2 linked regions of the Sus scrofa genome follow. Each later gene encodes a partner of the first gene's protein in a complex. Links are inferred from orthologs where the notes say so. Each region holds a gene or a part of one and is shown in the gene's direction. Other genes may lie near its edges. The genes, in order: SYMPK and SSU72.

What was found.
Region 2: the proteins of SYMPK (region 1) and SSU72 are in contact, whole or in part, in a crystal structure (PDB 4H3K), measured with the Homo sapiens proteins. The link is inferred for Sus scrofa from reciprocal best matches to the Homo sapiens genes SYMPK and SSU72. Residues at the interface, in NP_004810.2 of Homo sapiens: Val123, Lys127, Leu131, Gln135, Asp175, Asn176, Asp177, Gly178, Thr181, His182, Lys185, Glu188, Pro204, Arg205, Arg206, Gln207, Ser250, Ile251, Thr254, Thr255, Asn262, Ala290, Ser292, Gln293, Ser295, Ser296, Lys299, Asn300, Leu303, His304; in NP_054907.1 of Homo sapiens: Glu113, Tyr116, Asp117, Val120, Asn124, Glu127, Gln128, Glu129, Thr130, Cys131, Gln132, Pro133, His135, Asp167, Glu169, Asn170, Asp173, Gln177, Glu180, Thr186, Phe187, Leu188, His189, Thr190, Val191, Phe193.

What each region holds. Positions count from the first base shown.
Region 1 is NC_010448.4:52,149,186-52,152,991, reverse strand, and holds part of SYMPK (symplekin), read left to right. Parts: intron 1-874; coding exon 875-956; intron 957-1,127; coding exon 1,128-1,241; intron 1,242-2,219; coding exon 2,220-2,367; intron 2,368-3,319; coding exon 3,320-3,480; intron 3,481-3,806. UniProt on the Homo sapiens protein: Scaffold protein that functions as a component of a multimolecular complex involved in histone mRNA 3'-end processing. Specific component of the tight junction (TJ) plaque, but might not be an exclusively junctional component. May have a house-keeping rule.
Region 2 is NC_010448.4:63,754,359-63,758,669, reverse strand, and holds the start of SSU72 (RNA polymerase II subunit A C-terminal domain phosphatase SSU72), read left to right. Parts: upstream 1-1,209; 5' UTR 1,210-3,745; coding exon 3,746-3,924; intron 3,925-4,311. UniProt on the Homo sapiens protein: Protein phosphatase that catalyzes the dephosphorylation of the C-terminal domain of RNA polymerase II. Plays a role in RNA processing and termination. Plays a role in pre-mRNA polyadenylation via its interaction with SYMPK.

The sequences.
Region 1 (3,806 bases):
CTCCCTCTTCTCCCCACTGTCTGCACGACAAGGTTGCTTCCGTGCAGGCTTGGAGCCCTGTGCCCCGGGCTTGTTCTCTGGCTCTGCTGCTTGCTCTCTGACCTGTGTCACTTACCCTCTGAGCCTCCATTTTCTCATATAATACATGACGAGTAACAGCGTCTGCTTTGGAGGCTGGTTCCCGAGGTTGACTTCTCACCATCCCCACCTCTTGCCCACATCGGTTCTGTAGCTTCCTCCGTGTCCTGGATTTCCAGCTTATTCATTCTCCACATAGCAGCTCAGGTGACACTTTATAAATGTAAACCGTGTCTTGTTATTTCCCCACTAAAAACCTTCCATTGTCCTCAGCTAAAATGCACCTCCTTACTGTGTCCTATGAGACCGTGTATAATCCAGTCCACGCCAACCTCTTCAGCCTCTTTTTTGCCTCCCTGCATTTCACTGCCCCCGAACTTTAGCTCGCTGGCCTTCAGTCTCCTGTTCCTCTGATAGACTCACTCTGCTCTACCTGGAATGCTCTCCCCCTACTTCTTCCGTGGCTGGCTCTTTCTCCTTTGCCAGCATTGACAACTGTTATCTCCAAGCAGCCTTTTCTGGTCACCACATCTCAAAGAACAGCCTCCCGTCATCCCCTCCCATTGCTATATTAAACAAGCTAGGAATCTCCATTTGAAAAATGGGAGCAACTGAGTTTCCAAGAGGTCGTCTCTGCCCAGGACACCCACCTGGCAGTGTCTGAACCCTGCTCTGTTGCTTCCAGAGCTCTGTATCCAGGGGGTTGAGCAAGCTGTTGGAGGGGGGCACTTTCAGTTCTGAGCTATGATCAGCAGGATAGGGAAGCCAGCCGTTCCCTACCCCCCCTCTCTGGCAGGATCTTCACCAAGGTCGTGCTGGAGGCGCCACTCATCACGGAGAGTGCCCTGGAGGTGATTCGCAAGTACTGTGAGGATGAGGTGAGGACAGGCGGCAGATCTCCCGCCACTCCGAGCATCATGGTACAGGCAGGGGGTTCTGGGAGGGACCGGATGCTCTGGTCCAGTCCCAGGTCTGGCTGAGGCAGGGGAGACCTCCCAGTGGTGCCCTGCAGGGGCCTTGAGCTCTGGTTCCCCTCCTTCCTGCCGCAGAGCCGCACCTACCTGGGCATGTCCACTCTTCGAGACCTGATCTTCAAGCGCCCATCCCGTCAGTTCCAGTACCTGCACGTCCTGCTAGACCTCAGCTCGCATGAGAAGGACAAGGTGATCCCCCACCGCCCTGTGCTGTGCTCCACTCAGTCCTTCCTCTGTCCCGAGTAACCAGCCCAGCCTTTTCCACACTCCCCTGAAACTTTCTGGGCTTAATGTGCATCTTACAACAGTCTTTTGGTGGTGGTGGTGGTTTTTCCATTTATGATGGCGTGAAGCTGCTTAGAAGGTACACACATATATATACTCACACCCCAAGCAGGGCAGGCCCGTTCTCGCTCTTATTCTGCCTGTGTTGTACGCCCCTCTTAAGGCCCCACTGTGCTGGGACCTGGGAGGAGCCAGTGTGACCTACCAGCAGACACCATGTGTTCAGTGCCAGGAGTGGAGTAGTGTGTGACTGCAAAGCCCTGGCGAGGGGGTTGGGGAGGGGGTGGTTTAAGGAAGCCTCCCGGAGTCGGGACGTGTGAGCCAAGACCTGCAGTAGGAGTAGATGGCTGCGCCCTGGTCAGATGTGCCTCGGTGTGATGGAGAGGGCCCGCGACCATCCCTGCTCCTGCCTTCAACCCGCTCCTTTCTGGTGTCTTGTGTCCGTTCATTCAGCAGACCCTGACTGCACACTCTGGCTCGGCCCTGGGGTGCTGCTGGGAACAAAGCAATGCCCCAGACCAGGCTCTGTCCTCTTGGCTCCCAGCAGGATATAGCCAGCGACAGGCAGTCCAGGCAGTGGGAACTTTGTGTGCCAAGTCTCAGTGCCAGGGAGAAGGCCGCCACTTGTGAGGAACTGAGGAAAGCTCCTGGTTGGAGCAGGGCAAGCAGGGCCAGACGTGATAAGAATGGAGCCAGGCAAGTAGATGGCGAGGTGATGCAGGGCCCTCAGCTGGGCCAGGAAACCTCCCTCCCAAGCCAGTCTTGGGCACAGGTAACTCAGCTAGGCCAGGCCTTCCTCAGACTTGGGCTTGTTTTCACACTGGCTGCCAAGCTCAGGACAGCTGTTGCCCCCTCCACCACCTTGCCCTCCTCTCTCCTCAGGTACGTTCCCAAGCCTTGCTGTTCATCAAGCGCATGTACGAGAAGGAGCAGCTGCGAGAGTATGTGGAGAAGTTTGCCCTCAACTACCTGCAGCTCTTGGTCCACCCCAACCCACCATCTGTGCTGTTTGGAGCCGACAAAGACACAGGTTTGGTACAGGTTCTTCAGGGGTGTGTTGAGCACCTGCTGCGTCCCAGGCTCTGGACTGGGCCCTGGGGTCAGAGCCTGCTAGAGAAGACAGCTAGACAGCAGTAACCGAAACAAGCAGGCTTTGGGTGGCAAAATCAGGGGTCTGTGGGAGCCCAGAGGGGGTGCCTGGCCCAGCCTGATGGGTCAGGGAGAGGGTCCTGGAGGTGTGGGGACAGCTGGGTGAAAGCCGAGGACAAGGACAGCTTGCCAGTGATGCAGCTCCAGGCAGGATCATATCAGGCCCACTCACTCAGCAGAGCTCTGGGTCCTCCGTGTGCCAGATGGGGAGACTCTGGCCCCAAGAGGATGGACCATAAATTGGAGGCTGTGGCAGGAAGCACGGGGCCTTCTAGGAGCACAGGAGCCCTGGAGCAGCCTGAGTGTTGGGAACCCAGAGGGTGTGAGACCCAGAGGATGAGGAGGCACCACAAGAGGAGTTGGGCGGCAGTGTTCTTGGTGACAGCAGCACGTGTAGAGGCTCCAAAGTGGAGGCCTTGGGGTCTGTCTGAAGTGGGGTGTGACCAGAGTGCAGGGCCCCAGAGGCAGGGCTGCCCTGACCAGGACCTGTCAGGTAGAGCAGGGCGAGGATCTGGGGGCTTGTCCTGAGAGCACAGGACAGTTGTGGGAGCACTGAACAGGAGAGGGACAGGGTCAGAACTGCACTTAGGAAGATCTCTCTGGCTGCCTCGTGGACTGGTGGTCAGAGGAGACAAGGTGGGCACTGAGTGCCGAGACTTGCGGAAGGGGAGCCGTCCCGCTTCCACCCCCACCTCCTAGAGGACAGGCTTCCTGCCCTGGGGACTTTTGCTTCCCAGCTCAGCTCCCTCCTGTGCCTGCCTCCCAAGAAGGACCAGACCCTGAGGGTGGGAGGGGAGCAGGCCTCACCTGATCTTCACCTCCTGCCTTACCAGAGGTGGCAGCGCCCTGGACCGAGGAGACAGTAAAGCAGTGTTTGTACCTCTACCTGGCTCTCCTGCCTCAGAACCACAAGCTCATCCACGAGCTGGCAGCCGTATACACGGAGGCCATCGCCGACATCAAGAGGACTGTGCTAAGGGTCATCGAACAGCCGGTGAGGCCCCTGAGCCCACCAGGCTCTGCCCACGCATGGGCAGGGCTAAACCCCCAAATCAGCCCTTCCCCCGATAGCTCCTCCTCGGTGTCTGCTAAGCTCTAAGGGTTGTCACCCCAGGCCCAGCAGCTCTGTGGCTTGCGGGTGGCCCACACATCCGTCTGCTCAGGAGAAGACAGCAGGGTTGCCCTGAGTGAAAAGCCTAGGATCCGACAGACCTGGGCTCTCCTTCTGCCTCTCACTTGCTCACTCTGTGGACATGCACCCTCAGTAAAAACAGGGAAGATAATTCAGTCCCCCGAGCTTGTTGGAGGGATTCTGTGAAC
Region 2 (4,311 bases), about 12 Mb from region 1:
AGATACATAAGTTTCTCTTATTTTAGAATATCTTCATGGAGTTCCCATCTTGGCTCAGCGGAAATGAATCTGACTCGTATCCATGAGGATACAGGTTTGATTCCTGGCCTTGCTTAATGGATTAAGGATCCAGTGTTGCCATGAGCTGTGGTGTAGGTCGTAGACTCGGCTTGGATCCTGCATTGCTGTGGCTGTGGTGTAGGCCAGCAGCTACAGCTCTGATTCGACCCCTAGCCTGGGAACCTCCGTATGCCACAGGTGCAGCCCTAAAAAGACAAACAAAAATATTTTTTAAAATTCTTCAGGAGAAACATTTCAAATTTAAAGGCCACATCTGACTAAAACAATTAGAGTTACCGACTTGCCATGACGGGAACTTCTACCTCTGAATACTTAATGACGCTTTTTACAAATCAGACAAGTTGTTTTTCTCGATGCAAATAAGTGAGGTTTTCTCAATGCTGACATGTGAGCTCTACTTAAATCGTCCTCCACACCGGGCGTTCGGTGGTCCAGGAGCAGGTCGTGTATAGAACGTCTGTGCGGCAACTAAAGCAGTTTCTGTGGTGGCCTTTTCACACTTGCCCAAATTCAGACACTTCTCTTCCATTTTTCATTTTCCTTGCCCACTTATCTTGCCCCACCCCCACCGCCCAGCACCCTGCTTATTTCTTGAGTCCCCCATGGCATTCACTAAATGTTACCTAGGACCGATGAATTACCAATCTTTTCAGATCCTTCCCAGGATACCACGGTTAAGACCCATTTTTAATTTTCTTTTTTCAGGGTCGCACTGTGGCATATGGAACCTCCCAGGCCAGGGTTTGAATCGGAACTACAGCTGCCGGCAATGCCAGATCCTTAACCTACCAGTTGGGGCCTGGGATGAAACTGGAAACCTCAGGGATACTAGTCAGGTTTGTACTGCTGAGCCACACCAGGAACGTCAAAATGCTATTTTTTAATACCTTTTTACTCGTTTCTGCCCCTAAAAGTTGGTGGGTCTATGGTCTATGGGTTTTATTCTGCAAATCACTGATACTCATGTAAACCAATAATTATATTTTTATTATGTTATCAAGTACACATCATGTGAAAGAAAGATCAACTGTTTAATTATGTTCTCAGATCTGTTACCGCATCTCTGTGTGTGATGCAATGGGACGCTTGCCTGTTTTTTTTTGTTTTTTTTTTTTTTTTTTTTGTCTTTTGTCTTTTTAGGGCTGCACCCTCGGCATATGGTTCCCAGGCTAGGGGTCTAATCGGAACTGTTGCTGCTGGCCTACGCCACAGCCACAGCAACACCAGATCTGAGCGGCGTCTGTGACCTACATCACAGCTCAGGGCAACGCCAGATCCTCAACCCACTGAGCGAGGCCAGCGATTGAACCTGCAACCTCGTGGTTCCTAGTCGGATTCATTTCCGCTGCGCCACAACAGGAACTCCCCATACTTACGTGTTTTAAAAAAGCCAAGAGCAAATGTGTGTTTTTGTTAGTGGTGGTGGTGAGCATGTCTACAGATTTGGCAGTAATGCATAAATTTGTCAAACAGCCCTTCCAAAATTATACTTGTGAAATACACACACACACACACACACACACACAAATTGATCTTAAAAAATTTAAAACTAAAAAGACTAATCACATCAAGTGCCATCAAGGATGTAGAGAAAGTGGGACACTGCACACGGGAATGTGAGACAGTACATTTGCTTTGAAAACAATTTGGCAGTTTCTTAGAAAGTTAAAAGTACACCTAAACATATGCTCTAATCACCCTACTCCTGGGCATTAAGCCAAGTGGGTCCTTAACCCACTTAGGAACTCCTGAGACGTTTCTCAATGCACTGGACATAAGGCAACAAAACCATCTCGCCTGGGAATGGGGCCTGAGCCCTTCTGAGCTCAGAGTCTGTGCATGCAGTGGGGCAGAGCAGCACAGAGCGCCAGAGAGAAGGTCCCTAGCCAGGACAGAAAGGCCAGTGCGGGCAGAGGAGGACATGGGTGAGCTTTCTTGAAGTGGGCGGCATCTATCTGATCTCAGTACTTGGACTGAGTTGAGGTCTGGGGGGCACACACAGAGGTAAGGCACCGACAAGCAATTTTCAGTTGGCGGACGTTAAGTTCTACACAGGAGGTAGGGAGAGGTGAGGTAGGACAGCTACTATATTGGTATTGGAATGGTCAGTACTGATCAGTACTGGTGTGGTGAGGCCATAATGTCTTTGAATTCAGGTTATGCCTTCTGAGCACACTGGGGAGGCCATGGAGGCGTCTTGTTTTCCAAATGTAAACACCTCTATTGTTTGTTGTTGTTGTTAGAGAAAATACACGTCCATCATAACATACAAAGTCAAGGAATTCAAAAAGGTATAAAGAGCATTCTTTATAAGTATAAAGCACCCTTAACCCTAGGCCATTAGGGTTGCGGTCCCACTGCCACATTCCAGGGTAGGTCCCTCTGGACGTTGCGTTCTGTGTGTGTTTAAATACAGAGAGTGGGAGGGGAGGACGCCCTCATTGGTCCTCACTCATCCCTCACACCCCCAAGTCCTTCCAAGTAAACACTTCCTTGCTATAATCCTGCACCGGCCTCCCTCACACCAGGCCCAAGGGTCCTGACTTAAACAGTCTGAGTGCCTGGTCCTCAACCTTTCTCTCCATGAAAACATCCGGAGCAATGTTAGGACAACCGACTATCAGTGAAGATGGTCCTTCACTGCCCCGGCTTCAGAGCTTTCCCCTCTCCAACAGCGAGACGGTCTGCTACCATCTGCTACCATCGGTGCCTACGGTTACGCCTAGCCTCCAGGCATTCAGAAGGCAGCTCCCTCTACACCCAGTTTCAAGCATCCCGCTCTACCACCCTCTGGCCCCAGCGACATTTCTTCCACTCCACTGGGATCTCCAGTTCAGCGCACACGGTACCTTTCCACTGCCACCGTCCCTTCGTGTCCTCACTTCTCAGCCAGCCTGGATCCACGTCGGAGCACCGCCATTCCCTCGCCCCCTCCTTTTGCTGCACATACCAGAAGACCAACTCATTGGCCACTCCAAGTGGCTGGAGAACAAAACCGGGTTGCCTAGTTTCTCGGTCAAATTACAACCCCGTATCTCAAACCCGCAGGGCCTCCAAACAAGCCCCAGGATTTCAATCGACTTGCTCTCCTAACCGGGGAGGTCTTCTCAAAGCACCTAACCACCTCTCCAAACACTTCCACGACTTCATTTAAAGGTCAGACTTCGTAGAGTCTTCGGCAGAGCAGAAAAGGGAGACACGGCGGCTCGGGTGGCAGGAGCGAGAACAAGGGGCGTCGCCAGGGGCAGGCGGAAGCGCGCAAAGCCATCCTGGAAGACGCTGCCCGGAACCTGCCACTTCCAACGGCCGTCCCAGCAGGCCAGCGCCTTTTGCGTCATTCCCGGCGACGGCGCTCGTGACATCATCTGAGCTGGGGCGGTGCCTTCGCGTCATTCCCGGCGACTGCGGCGGCTCGTGACGACGTCGGGTCGCCGGTGCGCGGGGCTGGGCCGGACGGCGACTCCTGTGCGGGGCGCTGGCCTCTGTGGTTCATGCACAGAGAAGAGGCGAGCTCGCCAGCCGGCCGGGCGCCCGCGGGGCGGGGCCTCCCTCCGTCCGCTGCCCAGCGCTCCCGGCCGGCGTGGGGAGGCCGCCGGGACGCCTTGCGTACGTCCGTGCCGCACATCCCGACGCGCTACGTCGCCGGCGTCGCCTTTTGCGCGTCATGACTTCCGGGCACCGAGGTCGCCATCTTCCTCGCGCGGAAGCGGCGCCGCTGGGTGGGAGCTCGGAGGCGGGAGTCGCGGACGGTGCGGCTACCGCAATGCCGTCGTCGCCGTTGCGGGTGGCGGTGGTGTGCTCGAGCAACCAGAACCGGAGCATGGAGGCGCACAACATCCTCAGGTAGTTAGGGCCTCCGCCCTGGCCCAGCGCGCCCTACGAACACCGGCCCTACTGGCCGTTCCTCCGGCCGCATCTCTCCGCGACCCATGCTGGGCAGTCCCGTTTCCCGGCCCATGCTGTGTGGCGGCGGCCGCTTTCCTGGCCCGCGCTTCCCCTGCCCTTGCTGGGCAGCCCCGTTCCCAGACGGGCGGTGCGCCCCGGCCCCCAAAGGATGCCCGAGATGCCGCGCAGCGCCCGGGTTCGTGGGCTTAGGGGCCGAGCGCAGCGAGGAATCGACAAGGCTCGGTCTACCTCGCGGTCCCCTCACGTGTGCTTAGCATTACGGAAAGGTCAGAGTCTCAGCCGAAGGGTTTCTGGGTCGTGGAAATCTCAGAGCTGCTAGTAAAC